Linked DNA regions of Diceros bicornis minor. The protein of the gene in region 1 binds, or shares a complex with, the protein of each later gene. Links are inferred from orthologs where the notes say so. Each region holds a gene or a part of one and is shown in the gene's direction. Other genes may lie near its edges.

Region 1 (7,977 bases):
CGCCCCGCTGAGCGTCGAGACAGAACGGGTGAAGAAGCATGGAACAACCGTGCAGCAGAGAGAACACAGCGCCGACAGTGCACAGACCACCGTCCCTCTCGCAGTGCTCAGCAAAGAAAGAACGTGCAACATAACTCCACCTACATGACGCTCACAAACAGGCAGAAGGAGTCTGCAGAATTAGCGGTCAGAAGAGCAGTTCTCTCGAACCTCTGCGCCTTTGCACATGCCTCCCCCGTGCCCCGGGAACTCAAGTAGCTCCTGCATCAAGGTGCCTCCCAGGCCTCATCAAGATGCCTGGCCAAGGCCACCATAGTGCCCACAGTGCCCACACTGCGCAGCTCCTGGGGGCGGGCTGCTGTCTCAAACACCACTCAGTTCCAGAGGCTGACTCAGTGTCTGACCTGAGGCCCTTGGAGGAACATCTTATTTTTGTAGCATCCCCACACAGGAGGGAAGAGAACGTCGCCCCTGGGCCAAGACCAACGTGGAACTCAGGACTCCAGAAGCGTGCACCATCCCTTGACTGGCCCACTTCCTCATGGTCTGACTGAAATCGCAACTTCAAGTCAAGACCTTCTCACTCGAGGTGAGGAGCCCAGATCTCCCTACACCTGCCACACTGTGAACGTCCTGCCACGTGGCAGGCTTCACCCATGAATCAGAGGGCGCTCTACTTTCCAAACCTTGGGATGACACTCAGTTGGCCATCTCTAGCGTCACTTAAACAAACTGTCAACAATATAACCAGTCACATATGAACCCAGAGCAGCCACTGGTCAGGTTTAATCCTCAAACCCTTGCTACTTCATCCTCCATGTTTTCCACTTTACCTGGGTGCTGTCTGTGAAGATCCCAGGTGCTCTGTACTTACACTATGCACACTTCTCTGTATGTATCTTAAATTTCAATAAAAAAGGAATATAGGGGGCCGGCCCCGTGGTGTAGCAGTAAGTATGCGTGCTCCGCTGCTGGCTGCCGGGGTGCTGATCCTGGGTGCGCTTGTCAGGCCATGCTGTGGCAGCGTCCCATATAAAGCGGAGGAAGATGGGCACAGATGTTAGCCCAGAGCCAGTCTTTCGCAGCAAAAAAGAGGAGGATTGGCATGGATGTTAACTCAAGGCTGATCTTCCTCACAAAAAAAAGCAAAAAAAGGAATATATTTACAAAAGTAGAGCAGGACAGGGACTCCCACCCAAAGACGCCCTGGGCGGCATCTCTCCCACGTGTCTGACCAGTCCACCTGTAGCACTGGGGTCTCTGTAGACGGCGTCTCATAAACATGGACTGGGGTTTCCCTCTTCAGCCCCTCACCCTATTCCTGTTTCCTGAGACCCTATGTCAGGACACTGACAAGCACTGAGGAAGAGGCAGGAACAACCCAAAGGCTCTCTATTTCAGGAAACGTGTAGTTAGACGGGGCCGGAGGAATAAGGGAAAGGGCAAGGAACTCACATCTACTAGGTGCCTGTTTGGAACTGGATCAGGAAGACAAAGCACTGCCCAGCACGCCAGGACCTTCGAGAAGTGGGCAAGAATGGTCACCTCTGGGGGGACGGCAATACAAAACTGGAGGTGGGGGGACTTCCGTACACTCCAGATCCCCCGTCAGGTGAACTGGGTCGGTTTAAAAACAACGATAAGGACATAACTGGGTGAATCAGGTAAGTTCAAAAATATGTATAAAGACATGACTTCCAGTGAATCCTACGTGGCCCCCCCTGTGGCCAGTGTCCTGTCTGGGCGGGATGTGGCCACATGGATGGTGGTCACCTGCGTGCTCGGCTTCGTGGGGTGTCTCAAAGTTGACGAGCGCCTTCCCCCACGTTTTCTCACCAGTCCCCAGAGCAGCCAAGTCCTCGTATCTCCATGGGGTGTCACAAAGGGGCCCAAACAGCTTCAGGGCCAAACGTTTATTTTGAATTGTTTTCTTCACCCTTACGAGAATTGCAAGAAACAAACCTAAGAGGTTATGGCATAGAAAAGAATGAAATGAAAGTACAACATTTTAGCAGCTTTCCTAAGATCTAATTCTTGTGGTGGGGAAGGGAGCCCGCCCAGGAGTCAGGCCAGCAGAGGCCTTCCAGTGACCTGCGATGCATTCGAAACCCCACAGCCAGATTCTAAGTCAAAAGCAGCTACTTTTTCCAGTGCACACTTTGCATAAACAATATTCAGATCCAGGTGCACTGAGCATTTACCTGCATCCCAGCACTGAATCTTCACCGCCTGGAGGGAGGTACTTGGTGGGCCTGGTGTACAGATGAAAATGATCAAGCTTAGACGCTCAAAAGATCGGCCTCTGGTCACCACACAGTGAAGGTCACACTCAGGTCAGCTGGTTCCAGGCCCTGCACCTTCCCAGTGCTCAGCCACCTCCTTTAAAGACAGTCAGAAGAGCAGTTTAATAAAATGGTAAGGAACAACTCTGCCGTGCAGTCCCCTTATCTGCAGACCTCATCTGCCAAAACATCAATTCTGAGAATTGGGGACTAGCGCACAACTTAACGTTTGTTGAATAAGCACCAAAAATATAAGTCATAACGTTTATGCGCTAAAGTTCATAATGTTTATTCACCTGAGAACATCTCAAACCCATGCGCAGATTCCAACAAGCCTTGACTGCTGTTTCCCATTAAACACAAAGAAATAAACTAACATAGAGATAAGAAGTCTGGGTCTATCCGGCATCAGCACGTACTCAAGATATCACATGAGCACACTGTATTTCAGCAAAGGAATCAAAGACATTGCTCATGATTTCTTCTGCCTCCTCTCAACAACCCTCCTCTCTACCACCTTTGGGGCATCTGTGACCGCCTGCCACCTGGAGTATTGCCCAAAACATAGCTCCAGGTAGCAGGCCTCGGCCTGGCTCATCCCTTCCTCCTCCGAGGCACCCGCCGTGGCGCCAGCCCACAGAAGTATCTCCCAAACGGTTTGTTGAAGTTAGTTTTAGAAGAGTCACTCAGGTCAGTACACTTTGTCTAAAGAAGAAAGTGAATACTGTAATTAAACAATTTCTATCAAAATTGTTAAAATGAAATTTCAGCACTTAAAGAAGTAAGTCCGCAAGAAAAGTCAGTTTTTTCTTCAACAACCTCCCATCCCTTTTGCTCCAGCAGGAACTGGCGCTCCTGGGGACAGGGCTTCCCATAAGGCCCTCTCCAGTGTGGCTGGTTCCTCCCCGTGCTGCTTACTGCCAGACCAGTCTTCCCCTCCTCGGTAAAACTCCCACCTTTCCATTTTATGTCCTTCGCCGAGCACCACTGGCGTCAGCCTGTGGACGCCAGGCCACGCCCCTCATCAGGTAACCCTCCTAGGCTGGCCTCCCCGTCCCACGTTTCCCCCACCAGGGATTTCCTCTGTTCTGCTCAGCGTTGAATCCCCGGCACCTAGAACACAGCCGGGCACAAAGGAGTTAATAACTATCCTCGAATGAACGCAGTCAGGCGAGACTCTGAACTATTTCCGTTAATTGACAATGTTAGACTCATGAAGCACTACCCATAGACCACAAACCGTGCCTTAATGAATAACGTGGCCACCCTCGTTCCTATGACTTCATCCATCTACGTATACTCTCCAGCTATACGACCAGGTCGGTGCTCGGCAGGGACTGCTGTGCAGAAACTCGGGAGCCAGACTTCGCTCCAAGTCACCGAGCCGAGCCCCCTGACAGCCACGCCAACGTCACGGCCAGACGACTTCACGCCCTCACGGTGCCCAACGTCCGAGGCCCGCCCACGGAGCGCGCCCGCCAACCACGCTTCCCAGCCCGCCCAGACCACCGCTCCTCCCCGCCGCCACGTGGGCGCGAGGAGTCCACCCCCAAAGGCTGCGCCCGCCCCGTTGGCCACGCCCATGCCCACCCGGCCCCGTCCTCCAGCCACGCCCCCCGCCGGCTCGGCCCCGCCCCACCGCCCGTCCCAACGATGCAGCCAGACCTCGCCCCGCCCCCGCGCGCCAGGCCCCGCCCCCGCCCTCCCATCCAGGCCCCGCCCCACCGCCAGTCCAAACGCGGCAGCCAGACCTCGCCCCGCCCCGCGCTCCAGGGCCCGCCCCACCACCAGTCCCGGCAGGACAGCCAGACCTCGCCCGCCAGGCCCCGCCCCCGCCCTCCGGGCCCCGCCCCCCCCGCCGGTCCTGACACGGCAGCCAGACCTCGCCCGCCAGGCCCTGCCCCCACCCCTCCAGTCCCGCCCCCGCCCTCCCTGCCGGAAGTGCGCCGTCTCCCTCCGGTCTCCAGGCCAGTGATAGTCCGTCGTCGTGTCGAGGTCAGCCCTCACCGGCGGCGGCTGTGGTCGGGCCGCCTATGGACGCGCAGGGGCGGTACTGCTGCCATGCTCCCCGGGGGAGAAACGTGCTCGTGAGGCGGGACGTGGGGGCGTGTGGGCGGGGGCGTGTGGGCGGGGGCGTGTGGGCGGGGGGCGTGCGGCGGGGGCGGGGCCCGGGCGGGGCCCGGGCGGGGCCCGGGGGCGGGGCGGGGCCGAGCGGGCCGAGGCAGCGGCGCCTCCTGGAGGCCGTCGGCGCGCCCCGAGGACGTCACAGCACCGAGAGCGCCCCCGCGCGTGCGCACCGCTCAGGCCCTTCTCCCGAGGCACGCTGGGAGGCGCGGCGCGGCGCGCTGGTCTGCGCCTGCGTGGTCCGCTCTGGGTGCCTGTGTCCGCGCGAGTGCGGGGTTCTCCCTGACCCCTGGTCCATTGGCGCCCAGCAAGCTGCAGAAGCAGAGGCTGGCCCAGCCACACTTTCTTCCCCAAATTGAGTAACCTTTGGCCTGTTGCCGCAAAGAACCGACCCCCAGGAAGGACAGCCCTGGCAGAGAGGAGTCGCCCAGGGGGTATTGGGGAAACGGGGGGACGGGGTCTCCATGACGTACGACCAGAGGTGGAGGGACACTCGCACGTGCTTCCAGTGGCCACCCCTCCGAGAGTGCCCGGGAAGAAGCACACCGCAGGCCGGGTGATGACGCGGAGCCCAGTCAGAGGAGCCCTGGGAGGTCACCTGAGAGGCCTGGGGGAGCTGGGTGGACGACTCCCGGGGGCAAGAGGAGAGCGTGACTGGAACAGCGCCTCGTGGGCCGCGGGCTCAGGGTGGTCTCAGGGTTGGCTGAGATGTGCAGGGGGGTCCAGGCACTTTGCGCTATTGGGCTGGCACCTCTCGGTGCCCACGCGGTGCGGAGACACGCGTGCGGGAAAGCTGGTGGACTTCTGCAGCGTTTCCGGAGGGCAGTTGGGCGGCATCTTGGAACCAGGCCGGCCCCCCTTCTAGGATGGGTACCAGGAAGCTAACCAGGTGAGACGAAATGTCGGCCTGTAAGACGGGTTGAGTAAATGGAATACATTCAGAGGCTGGCACACAATGTGGGGTTCACTGCAAGTTAGCTTGTATACATTGTATACCGATCTGTTCTTGAGAGGAAAATGTTATAGCAGCTCCATAATGCGTTCGTCTCCTATTGCGGTAACAATTACCACAGATTCCTTATTTCACAGTTCTGGAGGTTGGAAGTCTGAAATGGGTCTTAGGGGGTTAAAATCGGAGTATCCACAGGGCGGGCTCCTTCCGGAGGCTCCAGGGGAGAATCTACTTCTTGGCCTTTTCCAGTTTCTAGAAGCTGCCTTCCTCCATCTTGAAAGCGCAACCACTCCAACCTCATGGTCACGTCTCCTTGCTGATTTTGACCCTTTCACCTCCCTCTTATAGGGACCCTCATGATTACATTGGTCCTATCCGGGTAATCGAGGACAGTCTCCCCATCTTAAGACCCTTAGCTTAGTCACATCTGCAAAGATCCCTTTGCCATGGAAGGTAACTATTGACAGGTTTGGGGATTAGGACGTGGACACCTTTGGGGGCCATTATTCTGCCTAACATTCCTAATATCTGATTTTTTATTTTTTAAAAATGTGTGTACAGAGTGGGTAGGAGCACGTGAACAGATGTCAGAGCAGTTGTCTCTAGAAGATGGGCATTCTAGCGCTCTTCATTTTCTTTTCTCTGTCTTCTGGTTTTTCTACAAAGAGCATATAATGCTCATGTGACAAAAATCACGATCACGTTGACTGTAGCTCCGGTACACCCAGGGGCCCCCCTCCCCCCTCGCCCCTCTGCCTCACCCACCCTCACCCAACCTCAGGCTGCAGCAGCCTCTGTGGGAAACCCAGGACCTCGCTCATTTCTTGCGTCGAGGGGGAGGAGAGCTGCTGGCTGTCTTCACTCGACAACTTGACACCTTGAACCCACTCGGGGGGAGCTCATGGGTGGGGTTGTCTGGACCTTAGTGGTCTGTCCCTGCGAAGCCACTGGGCTCTCCAGGGCTGCGTTGGTGGTGCGACCCCCTTGTCCATTGGCACCCAGCAAGCTACACAAGCAGGAACCAGCCCAGCCAAATATCCCCAAATTGAGTAACCCTCCACTTTATTCCCCCAAAGAACTGGCCCCCCTTGCAGCAGATCAGCTCGCTGCTCTCTTGTCGCCATCTGCACTGTGCTGCTCCCTGGCGGCCGCCAGGATTAGGCCAGGTCGGCAGTGAGCAGTGTGTGAAACATTCAACCCACCTGTGGGCGGCCACCATAGCCTCAGGCCTCTGCTACCCGTGGCCTGCTCTCGCCTGGGAGTGGACATGCCTGACGTCTGCCCTGACCCTCCAGCACTCCTGATTCCCTTTTATTCTGCATTATTTTTGCCCCTTGGCACTATCCACATTCTAAATACTATTAATTTCCTTTTTTTTTCCCCCGGGGGGGAGATTCGCCCTAAGCTAACATCTATTGCCAATCTTCCTCCTTTTTTCTTCTCCGCCCCCCATCAAAGCCCCAGTATATAGTTGTGTATAGTTGTAAGTTCTGTTTCTTCTGTGTGAGCCGCCACCACAGCATGGCTACTGACAGATGAGTGGTGTGGTTCCACACCCAGGAACTGAACCTGGGCTGCCAAAGCGGAGCTTGCCAAACTTGAACTGCTAGGCCATCAGGGCTGCCTCACTATTAATTTGCTTTTTTTTTTTTTTTCGTGAGGAAGATTGGCTGTAAGCTAACATCCCTTGCCAATCTCTGAGGAAGATTGTCCCTGAGCTAACATCCGTGCCTGTCTTCCTCTATTTTGTACATGGAATGCCACTGCAGCATGGCTTGATGAGCAGTGTGTAGGTCCATGCCTGGGATTCGAACCTGTGAACCCTGGGCTGCCAAAGCAGAGCACATGAACTTAAGCACTAGGCCACTGGGGCAGCCCTACTATTAATTTGCTTTTTAATTTCATGTGTCCCCTTGAGCTCCTAGAGGGCTGAGACCTTTGCCCTGCTTGCTCACTGATGTGGCCCAAGCGCCTAGAACAGTGCCCGGCACACAATAGGTGTTCAGTAAGTGGCGGCTGAATTGAGGAATGCTGTGCAATGCGAGCACGTGGAGCACCCTGTTCTAACACGTGCACATGGCAGCGAGGGGCGCTCTTGAACGGACACCCACAGCCGTGTGCTGGGAGCCCGCAGACGCCCGCAGGGCCGCGTGCTGTCTCCCCGTCATTTTGGAAGTTCGGGACTGGTGCCGTGTGTCTCGTTCTGTGTGTCTAATAAACTTCACAGCGTGCCCTCCGCAGTCCTCCCTGTCAGCAGCGGGGTTTTAACTGGCGGAGAGCGGGTGTCTTACATTACTCAACCACCTCCCACTGATGGACGTGAGGCTTCTCCAGGAGTGCAGGTTACAGAATACTGCGAAGGGACGTTCTGACCGTGTCCGCTAGACTTCTCTGCGAACGTCCCCTGATCCGTACGGGGAAACGGGTGCGTGCATGTTTCACGTGGGCCTAGTCGCGTCCCCAGAGCCGACTGATGACAGTCGCACCCGTGTCATCACAGCCACACATGGTGTCATTCTGCCACCTCCCTGTCCGGTGCGACGGGGAGAGGCTCGGGCGTCTCCCGTCGGCGCACTGGGGGCGGGGCAGGGCAGGGTCCCGGTGGGGTGGGGTGGGCCT
Region 2 (7,846 bases), on another chromosome or scaffold:
TTTCTAGGTGCCAAGAGTTCAGCCCATCACCCCAGGGAGGTTGTTGAATTCAAATTTAGAATTAGGGTCTGAACAATAGATTATAATAATTGGTTCTATTTCTGGGAGAGAGGGATACTAGCAAAGTCACAGATTGACTTGTTTAGAGTCAGTTGTCCTTGTAGATGCAAGTGGAAACACCATCGGCTGTGATTGCCTATGGTCTCATATAATGACATCAGAATTACCCAGAGGTTTTTATCATGGGGATCTGGGGGTGGGTGGCATATTCCGCAGTCAGTAAGATTGAAGGCAGTGGCTACTGTTTGGGATAATCTAAAAATGGTATTAGAACAAGTTTGTTCTTTTTGGGTTTTTTTTTTTCCAGCTTTATTGAGGTATAATTGACAAACAAAATTGTAAGATATTTAAAGTGTACAATGTGATGATTTAATATATGTATACATTGTGAAAGGATTCCCCCCATTGAGTTAATTAAAACATCCATCACATCATATGTTTACCTTTTTAGAATGAGTATATTCTGACCTAACAATTATAATAAAGTAGGAAGAGAAGAGAAAAAGGCTCATTATGGGCAGATGACAACAAGAGGTATATAGAAAATAATGAGATTATAAGCAAGCATATTAAAAAAAAAACAACCAGGAATTAGACAGGAGTCTTGCTCCAACATCATGTGTGGAACCGGTCCATTATCCATGGTTGTCGGCTTGTTCCAAGGGTCTTAGGTCAGCTGTCTGCTTCTGAAGATCAGCTGTTTCTGGAGGATCTCGGAGAATCCTGTTTTAGTTCCTGTATTGGAGTAACCTTCCAGTTACGCAGAATTCTGAATTGCTGATTTAGTTGTGAACCATGGACCCAGTGATTGACTCCCCCGGAGTTTCACTGCTGTATTTGTAGTTAACAGAATTTGATAAGGTCCCTTCCAACAGGGTTCAGGAACAGTTTTTCTCTGATGGCTCTTCCCATAGATAAAATCCCCCGGTTGAAGATCATGAAGAGATTGTTTAGAAAGATGTTGTAGGAAGGTGGCCTTAACTTGTTGGCAATAGGAGTGGGTACAGTACGTGAGTCCCTTGCAATATTTTGTTATGTCTGCATGCAAGTAGGGCAGGTTGTAGTATTGGAGGTGAAATTCCTAAGTGCGTGGGCCTTCCAATTATCGGTTCGTAGGGGGATAACCCATATATTTCTGAGAGAGTGGCTGATGGCCATAAGGGATAGTGGGTAGGAGTACCTTTGGGCAAGAGAGTTCAAGGGTTTCTGAAAATGTTGCTAATTTTAATTTAAGGATGCCATTGGTCCTTTCAGCCTTTCCAGCGGATTGTGAATGGTAAGGACGGTGTAGTTTTTGAGTAAAGGGTAACAACTTGCAGAGATCTTTTATAATGGTTCCCTTAAAGTGTGTGCCTCAATCACTTGATATAAAGGTTGGGATGTTCTAGATTGAAAACATAAAATCAAGCAGCTTTTTAGTGACTATAAGGGCGGTAGCTTTTTGGCAAGGAAATGCTTCAAGTCACCCTGAAAATAGACATATAATAACTAAAACACATTCAAATCGCATCGTGGGTGGAAGCTGGATAAGCGGCTAAAGGTATCCAAAGGACCCTTGAGGCTTTGGTCCTGGCCATGTGCTACCTTTACAACTTTTCCAGGATTGTGTTGTTGACAGGTAACACGTGACCTGAAAATAACCTCAGCTTTCTTTTTAAAGTTTCTCTACTAATGTTGATTTAAGATAGTAGGCAAATTGTTTATTCCGTGATGGGTATTTCATGGTAAAATTCAGATTATTTCTTGAGAGTGCCAGGGATTATGCAAGTGAAGGGTACAGCCAGATTTTTTCCATTCTTCTTTTTCATAATCAGGGGCTAAATGTTGATATTTTATAACGGCCTCTTTGAATTTGTCCAGAGATTTATCTTTTGAGGGTTTAAATAGACTCATAATCTTAATTAAAGCAGTTTATTTGGCATAATGATCTGTTAGAGCAATTCCTTTCGCTTCCATATTATCTCTTTTAATGTGGGCCTCACTCTATAATAACCACCTGTCCAGGAACTAGGAGTGCATCTAAAAGTTCCTTAACTTGCCGTCCATTTTGATGCTTGTTTCCAAAGCATCCCAAAGTCATGTACTTCTCCAAAAGCACACCTGCTGTCTGTATATAGCTTTATTCTCTGGTCTTCGGCTAGTTGACAAGCTCTAGTAAGTGCAATAAGTTCTGCCATCTGGGCTGATTTACCTCAAGCAGAAGACTATATTCTGAAGAGCTTTGGTTAGTGATAGCATATCCACTTGATAACCTCAAGTTTCAGTTTTGAGGTATGATCCATCAACAAATAACGTTAGGTCAGGCTTCTTAATAGGAAGTCTCTAATAAATAGGAGTCTCTAATAGATCTAAGTAGGATACAGAAAGTTCCCTACCTGAGATAACATGATCACAGGGCTCCCCTTCTTCTGGTAGGAGCAGGAGAGTGTCAGGATTCAGGTGTTTCCGAGGTGAACAGTATGTGAGAGGGAAAGAGTAATAGAATCTTCTAAGGGGTTACTTGGCTGGCTGAAAAGTGTTGTGTATTCTCAGTCAGTAGTAGTGTCTTACTGCATGAGAAACTAGGAGCAGGGAGCCTAGAACCAGTTCAGCAGAAGCATCAACAACATTGCAGTGGCAACTATTGCCCTAAGACAGGGGGACATGCCTTTGCAACTGGGTCAAGGGTAAGGCTATAGTAAGGATGGGTTTTTGATGGTTCCCATGAAGTGAATTAAAACCCCGAGGGCTTGTCTAGATTGTCTACACAAATAGGCAAAATGGCTTCTTATAGTCAGGGATGCCCAGGGAAGGAGGCTACTGAAGAACTTTATTTGGGTTACAGAAGGCCTATTCATATAGGAATTGTGATTCTGAAATCTTCTTGTTGGACCGACTCCCTGAAGAAATTCTTCTGACATTGGCAGGGTACCAGAAGAATGACTACTTTTGTGTAGCCATGCCCAACACCTCGGTGGGACTCACCTGACCAATGTTACAATCCATCTCATCAGGTATCTTTAGGGCAGGCCCTGTGACTTATTTATCTCTGTACTCCCACTGCTGAATGACTGAATGAACAAATCCTAAATTGACCATGGTAGGGACCTACTCGGATTCCCAGAGTTGATTGAAGATTATTTTAAACTGAAGATATTTGAGACTCAGTAGATGCAGAAAGAAGCCTTTCGAAAGCTCCCCTTATCTGACTAAAGGCAATGTCTTCTGAGAGTGAGTCTGCTATAAATTCCCTCTCCTGGGGAGTTTTACAGCCAGGAAGAATATAGACCACTCACTCTTGCATAAACAAACAGCATCACAAACTATCTTACCTCCCATTTGTTCCGCTAAAAGCTCATTAATCTTTCTTTAAAAAACCCATTTATTTTCTATAAAGCCCCTATTCACACCCACCTCCCTTCTTTCTCCTATTAAGTTAGTGTATAAACTCTTATCCCTAGCTGTTCAGTGAACTACTTCTTTTGTGTGCCTCCATATGCATATGAATAAACTTTGTCAATTCTCCTGTTAATCTGTCTTTTGTCGGTTAATTTGCAGGCCTCCTGACCAAGAACATAAATGGATAGAGGAAAAGTTTTCCACTCAACACCACTCCAGATGATATGAGTACCATCTAAGGACTAAGAGACAAACAAAGCCTGTATGGAGGGTGGGGTGGTGGGTGAACTGTGAGAACGTGAAACTAAAATCTTGGCCACACCACATTTCCTTAGCCCCACTTCTTCCAAATTCATACTCATTGACAAATGTTACTTTACTAAAAATTTCTTGGATATCATATGGCAAAACAATTTAAAAATTTCCTATTAAAGAATTCTGTTCTTCCCTTCAAGTTCTCTCTCTTCTCTCCTCTTCTCCTTTCTTTCCCTCCCCAGGGCTCCAAAACTGCCAGCTATTTTCAGCTCAGGTTTTTAGCAAAACAAAAGCCTGGCAGTTCTTTGACTCTATCCCCTGTAGAAAGCGATTCAGAGATCACTCAGTGTTATTTAAACAGATTCCTTGGGAGGATCTCAACACCACCTGGCATGACGCATCATAAGACCTAGCATTTATGGATGCTTTCAAAGCATTACTCTAAGCCCTCTGCCCATCTTATCTTATTTCTTCCTAAAAACAAATCTAAGAGGTATATATTATTACCCTCATTTTAGAGATGAGGAAACTGAGGAACAGGGAAATAAAGTTCTGTAACTTGCCCAGCTCTTAAGGTATTAAACCAGAATTTGAACTGAGACAGTCTAAATCCAGAGCGTGGGGGGATATTTTGATAATTCTCACTCCAGAGGTATCAAAATTGTCACCTAGTACAAACAGATCTCTTTCTAGGAGGGATGCTGCTGATAAGAAATACGATGTTCTCTATCTTTTCTCCAAAAGGTATTTGGGTTTTGGTTCATCTTTCGTTCCTCTACTCAACTCTCACCTACCAGATAAGTGGTCACTGTAGATAAGATCTACCACACACTCACATTCAACACCCAGGAATGTCAGAATGTCGAAGTGGCCAGAACTGGATGAGGTCCTGTGGAGGCTTCCTTCTTTTCCTCCCTGTTCAGGCACTCTCCCCCTCCTTCTCCAGATCTGGGAAGCGTTCTAGCTGGGGGCGGCTGGACACCTCTCCCCCCTCCCCCCAGGAGAGGTGCTGGAGAGAGATGTGGAATCCCAGCTGACAAGAGATTTTCACATATAGGGGCATACAGGTTAACTATTCGGATTCAAAAGTGATTCGGCTTGAACTAAAGAAGTCTAATTTATGGCCTATCAAACATACACTGTACATCCGCTTTAACCATTAAAGTAAACAATGTGGTCTCTCAAGATAAGAATGCATACTTCCCCTCTATGCCATATTAGTAACACCCTATCGGTAACGCCTGGGTTATTCCCTTTCCCCGACTTTGAGATCATGTTGGCCTGCTGATTTGCAACTGAATACCTCTTTGAAACTTGGATGAATATGTATCCTGGGCGTGTTTAATGTATGTTCTTTGTTCTAAAAAGATCTAAGACTGCACTGAAAACCATGGTTCTCCAGAAAGCTTTCTTCCTTTCTGGAAAAGTCCTTCCCGGGTTATAATTCTCACTCTGGCTCAAGTAAGACTCACCTCTCTCTCTTATCTATAGAATGGTTATTGGGTATTTTGCCTTAACACCGCCAAAGGGTCTCCAGGACTCCTGGGGAGAGAGTGGATCTCCCTTTCCCTCTGTCTCATATGATCACATGTTAAGTGTCCTTTCTAACCTCCAAGGGCTATTTGGTGAAAATGGCCCTCAAAGAGATAACAAGGACTTGGTTGGGGATTCAGACATCAGTGCTGTAGTGGCTTTCTCTGCTGCTACTTGTGAACCAGCAGACAGATAAGATTCGTATGGTAAGAAAGGCTCCTATAGGCAAAGACTCACTCTCCCCAGCAGCCCTGAAAAGAGGGTGGCCTGGGCAACTCCTCACCTCTTCCTCACAATGGCCTTGCTTTCCTCCGGACTCAGACCCAGATGCTCCTCCCACCCTTCCCTTCTTGGAGGCCAACCCCCCTTGTAATCTGTATAATGTCCACACCTCAGGGATTGACTGGTTGCAGAAACTGGCCTTCCGGCTCTCTCAGAGACCAAGCTGGAGACCCAGGTAAGCCGCCCAAGAGGTGGTCTCAGGAGCTACTTCTGCTTGAGGGTTGTAGAGGAGGGAGCCAGGCGGGTGAGGCTAGCACTGAGAAAGCTTGGGCCAGGCAAAAATCAGCTGTGGCCAGAGCTGGGTCAGGAGGGAGCATTTGAGCTGCAGAGAATCCATGGGGCTGGAAAAGAAGCAGCCCCCAGGTTGGGGGAGACGAGCATCTCTCTTTGGAATACAATAGCATCCTTTGTGATGCCAGTGTCAGGCACTGGGCTGAGTTTCCCTTGTGCTGTAGGACAACAGGGCTCTGTCAACCATGATCCTGGATGACACTTGGTGGTATCTCAGGGATATAATTTGGCCTCTTCAAAATTTGGTTTATTTAATAGTTTATTCAAAAGGATCTTCTAATGAGCCACTTTTGAGCACACATTTGAGCATTGAGTACAAATGTATTTTACTTTTCAAATGTATTTGAGATAAAAATTTCTTCAGTGTTCAAAGGGAAGACTTTCAGGGTTTTAGATTACTTCCGGGGTCACCACCCAGAGGGGAGGACGGCCTCTGTAGCGAGTGGGAGTCAAATGTTCTTAGAGAAGAGGACATGTGAATGTCTCCTTACTTGGAAAAGCTCGCAGGAAGAGGGATGTCTTTCTGGCTGACTGTAAGGTGGGAGGGAGACTGTGAGGTGGAAGACCACAGGTGGAAGTGGGGCTTCTCTTTCTAAGGCAATGCTTTTCTTCCTCTCTGTCTTTCCTGGCTAGGCTCCTTGGGCGGAGTGAGGCCACTATGGCTCAGGAGAAGTCCCTTGTCCTGTTCCCATTGCTAGTCCTGGTGCTGCTGGTGCTGGGGGTGGTCCAGCCTTCCCTGGGCAGTGAATCAGCGGCCATGAAGTTTGAGCGGCAGCACGTGGACTCTGACGGCACCTCCAGCAGCAGCTCCAACTACTGCAACCAAATGATGATGCGCCGGAATATGATACAGGGATGGTGCAAGTTGTTGAACACCTTTGTGCACGAGCCCCTGGCCGATGTCCAGGCCATCTGCTTCCAGGAAAATGTCACCTGCAAGAACGGGCAGTCCAACTGCTACCAGAGCAGCTCCAGCATGCGCATCACAGAGTGCTGCCTCACGAGCGGCTCCAAGTACCCCAACTGTGCGTACCGGACCAGCCGGATGGAGAGATACATCATCGTGGCCTGTGAGGGGAACCCGTACGTGCCAGTCCACTTGGACGCTTCTGTGGAAGTCTCCACCTGAGGCCGGGAGCAGAGAGATGCCCCACCACCTCATCATGGTGGCACCTGTCTCTCCCCTCTTCCTTCCTTCCTTGCCCTGGGGATGCAAGGAATAACTCAAGATCCAACACACACACACAAACACACACACACACACTCACACACACACACACACACGCACACTTCCCTGGCCTGAGGCTTCCCCCTACAAGTGGTTTGGAGGGTGAAGGGTGGGTTGTGAGGTATGTCCCATGTTAACCACTTCATTGCTTCTTTCAATAAAACACAGTTGCAACCACCTGGATTCCTGAAGCCGTCCCCATCCAGGTACTGTTTGCATGATTGCCTGCCTGCCAGGGCTGAGGACTGTAAATCTGGTTAGCTTTGGTGAGCAGCAAAGGGAATCGTTAAGTGCCTTCTCTTCTGGCTCTTGGTTTTTAGTGACCTGAGATAATTCCTTTCCTTGTGGGTTCCTTGATGCCAAATGTAAAGTTTTTAAGTGTGGGCTATTTTAGATAAAAGGGAGCTACAGTCTGGGACACTGTCATGCTGGGTGAACTGACAGAGGGCGAAGCTAAATACAAAAGTCTCTGGCACAGAAGGAAGGTCAGTGTGACCTCAGGAAGATCCTACTCAGCCTCAGGATGGGGAGGAGGAATGTAGGAAAGTAGGATCCTAAATTTCCATTTTCCTTGTTTTGAGTGAGTTATTACTAAATCAGAAAAATGGTCATCTCTTACTTTGAAAGTTGGAACCTTCCAGCTTCAATTTAGGAGCTGGAAGGCATTTAGAAATTATCAGATTGAGGGAGAGTAAGTACATTTCAGCTTGTGTACCAACTCTAATTGGAAGTACCTGTCTAGAATGCTGTAGAAAAACTTCTAAACGGTCATGTGGTTGAATTGTAGCCTCTACTGAAGGCGTGAGAGAGGTAAGGGTG

The links.
Region 2: the proteins of RNH1 (region 1) and RNASE1 are in contact, whole or in part, in a crystal structure (PDB 3TSR), measured with the Mus musculus proteins. The link is inferred for Diceros bicornis minor from reciprocal best matches to the Homo sapiens genes RNH1 and RNASE1. Residues at the interface, in NP_001165571.1 of Mus musculus: Cys7, Asp32, Thr60, Asn89, Asp117, Glu145, Tyr146, Asn174, Glu202, Trp257, Trp259, Glu283, Ser285, Trp314, Lys316, Glu340, Glu397, Ser401, Asn402, Gln426, Val428, Tyr430, Asp431, Ile432, Tyr433, Trp434, Thr435, Asn436, Glu437, Arg443; in NP_035401.2 of Mus musculus: Arg26, Glu27, Lys32, Gln36, Pro48, Thr49, Gln53, Lys56, Arg57, Met60, Asn62, Gly63, Ser64, Cys65, Lys66, Pro67, Val68, Asn92, Lys94, Asn96, Leu111, Lys112, Gly113, Asn114, Ser115, Lys116, Asp121, Ala134, Glu136, Val143.

What each region holds. Positions count from the first base shown.
Region 1 is NC_080770.1:333,386-341,362, reverse strand, and holds the start of RNH1 (ribonuclease inhibitor), read left to right. Parts: upstream 1-4,880; 5' UTR 4,881-5,272; coding exon 5,273-5,295; intron 5,296-7,977. UniProt on the Homo sapiens protein: Ribonuclease inhibitor which inhibits RNASE1, RNASE2 and angiogenin (ANG). May play a role in redox homeostasis. Required to inhibit the cytotoxic tRNA ribonuclease activity of ANG in the cytoplasm in absence of stress.
Region 2 is NC_080744.1:28,472,611-28,480,456, forward strand, and holds the start of RNASE1 (ribonuclease pancreatic), read left to right. Parts: upstream 1-4,631; 5' UTR 4,632-5,429; coding exon 5,430-5,683; intron 5,684-6,432; coding exon 6,433-6,928; 3' UTR 6,929-7,846. UniProt on the Homo sapiens protein: Endonuclease that catalyzes the cleavage of RNA on the 3' side of pyrimidine nucleotides. Acts on single-stranded and double-stranded RNA.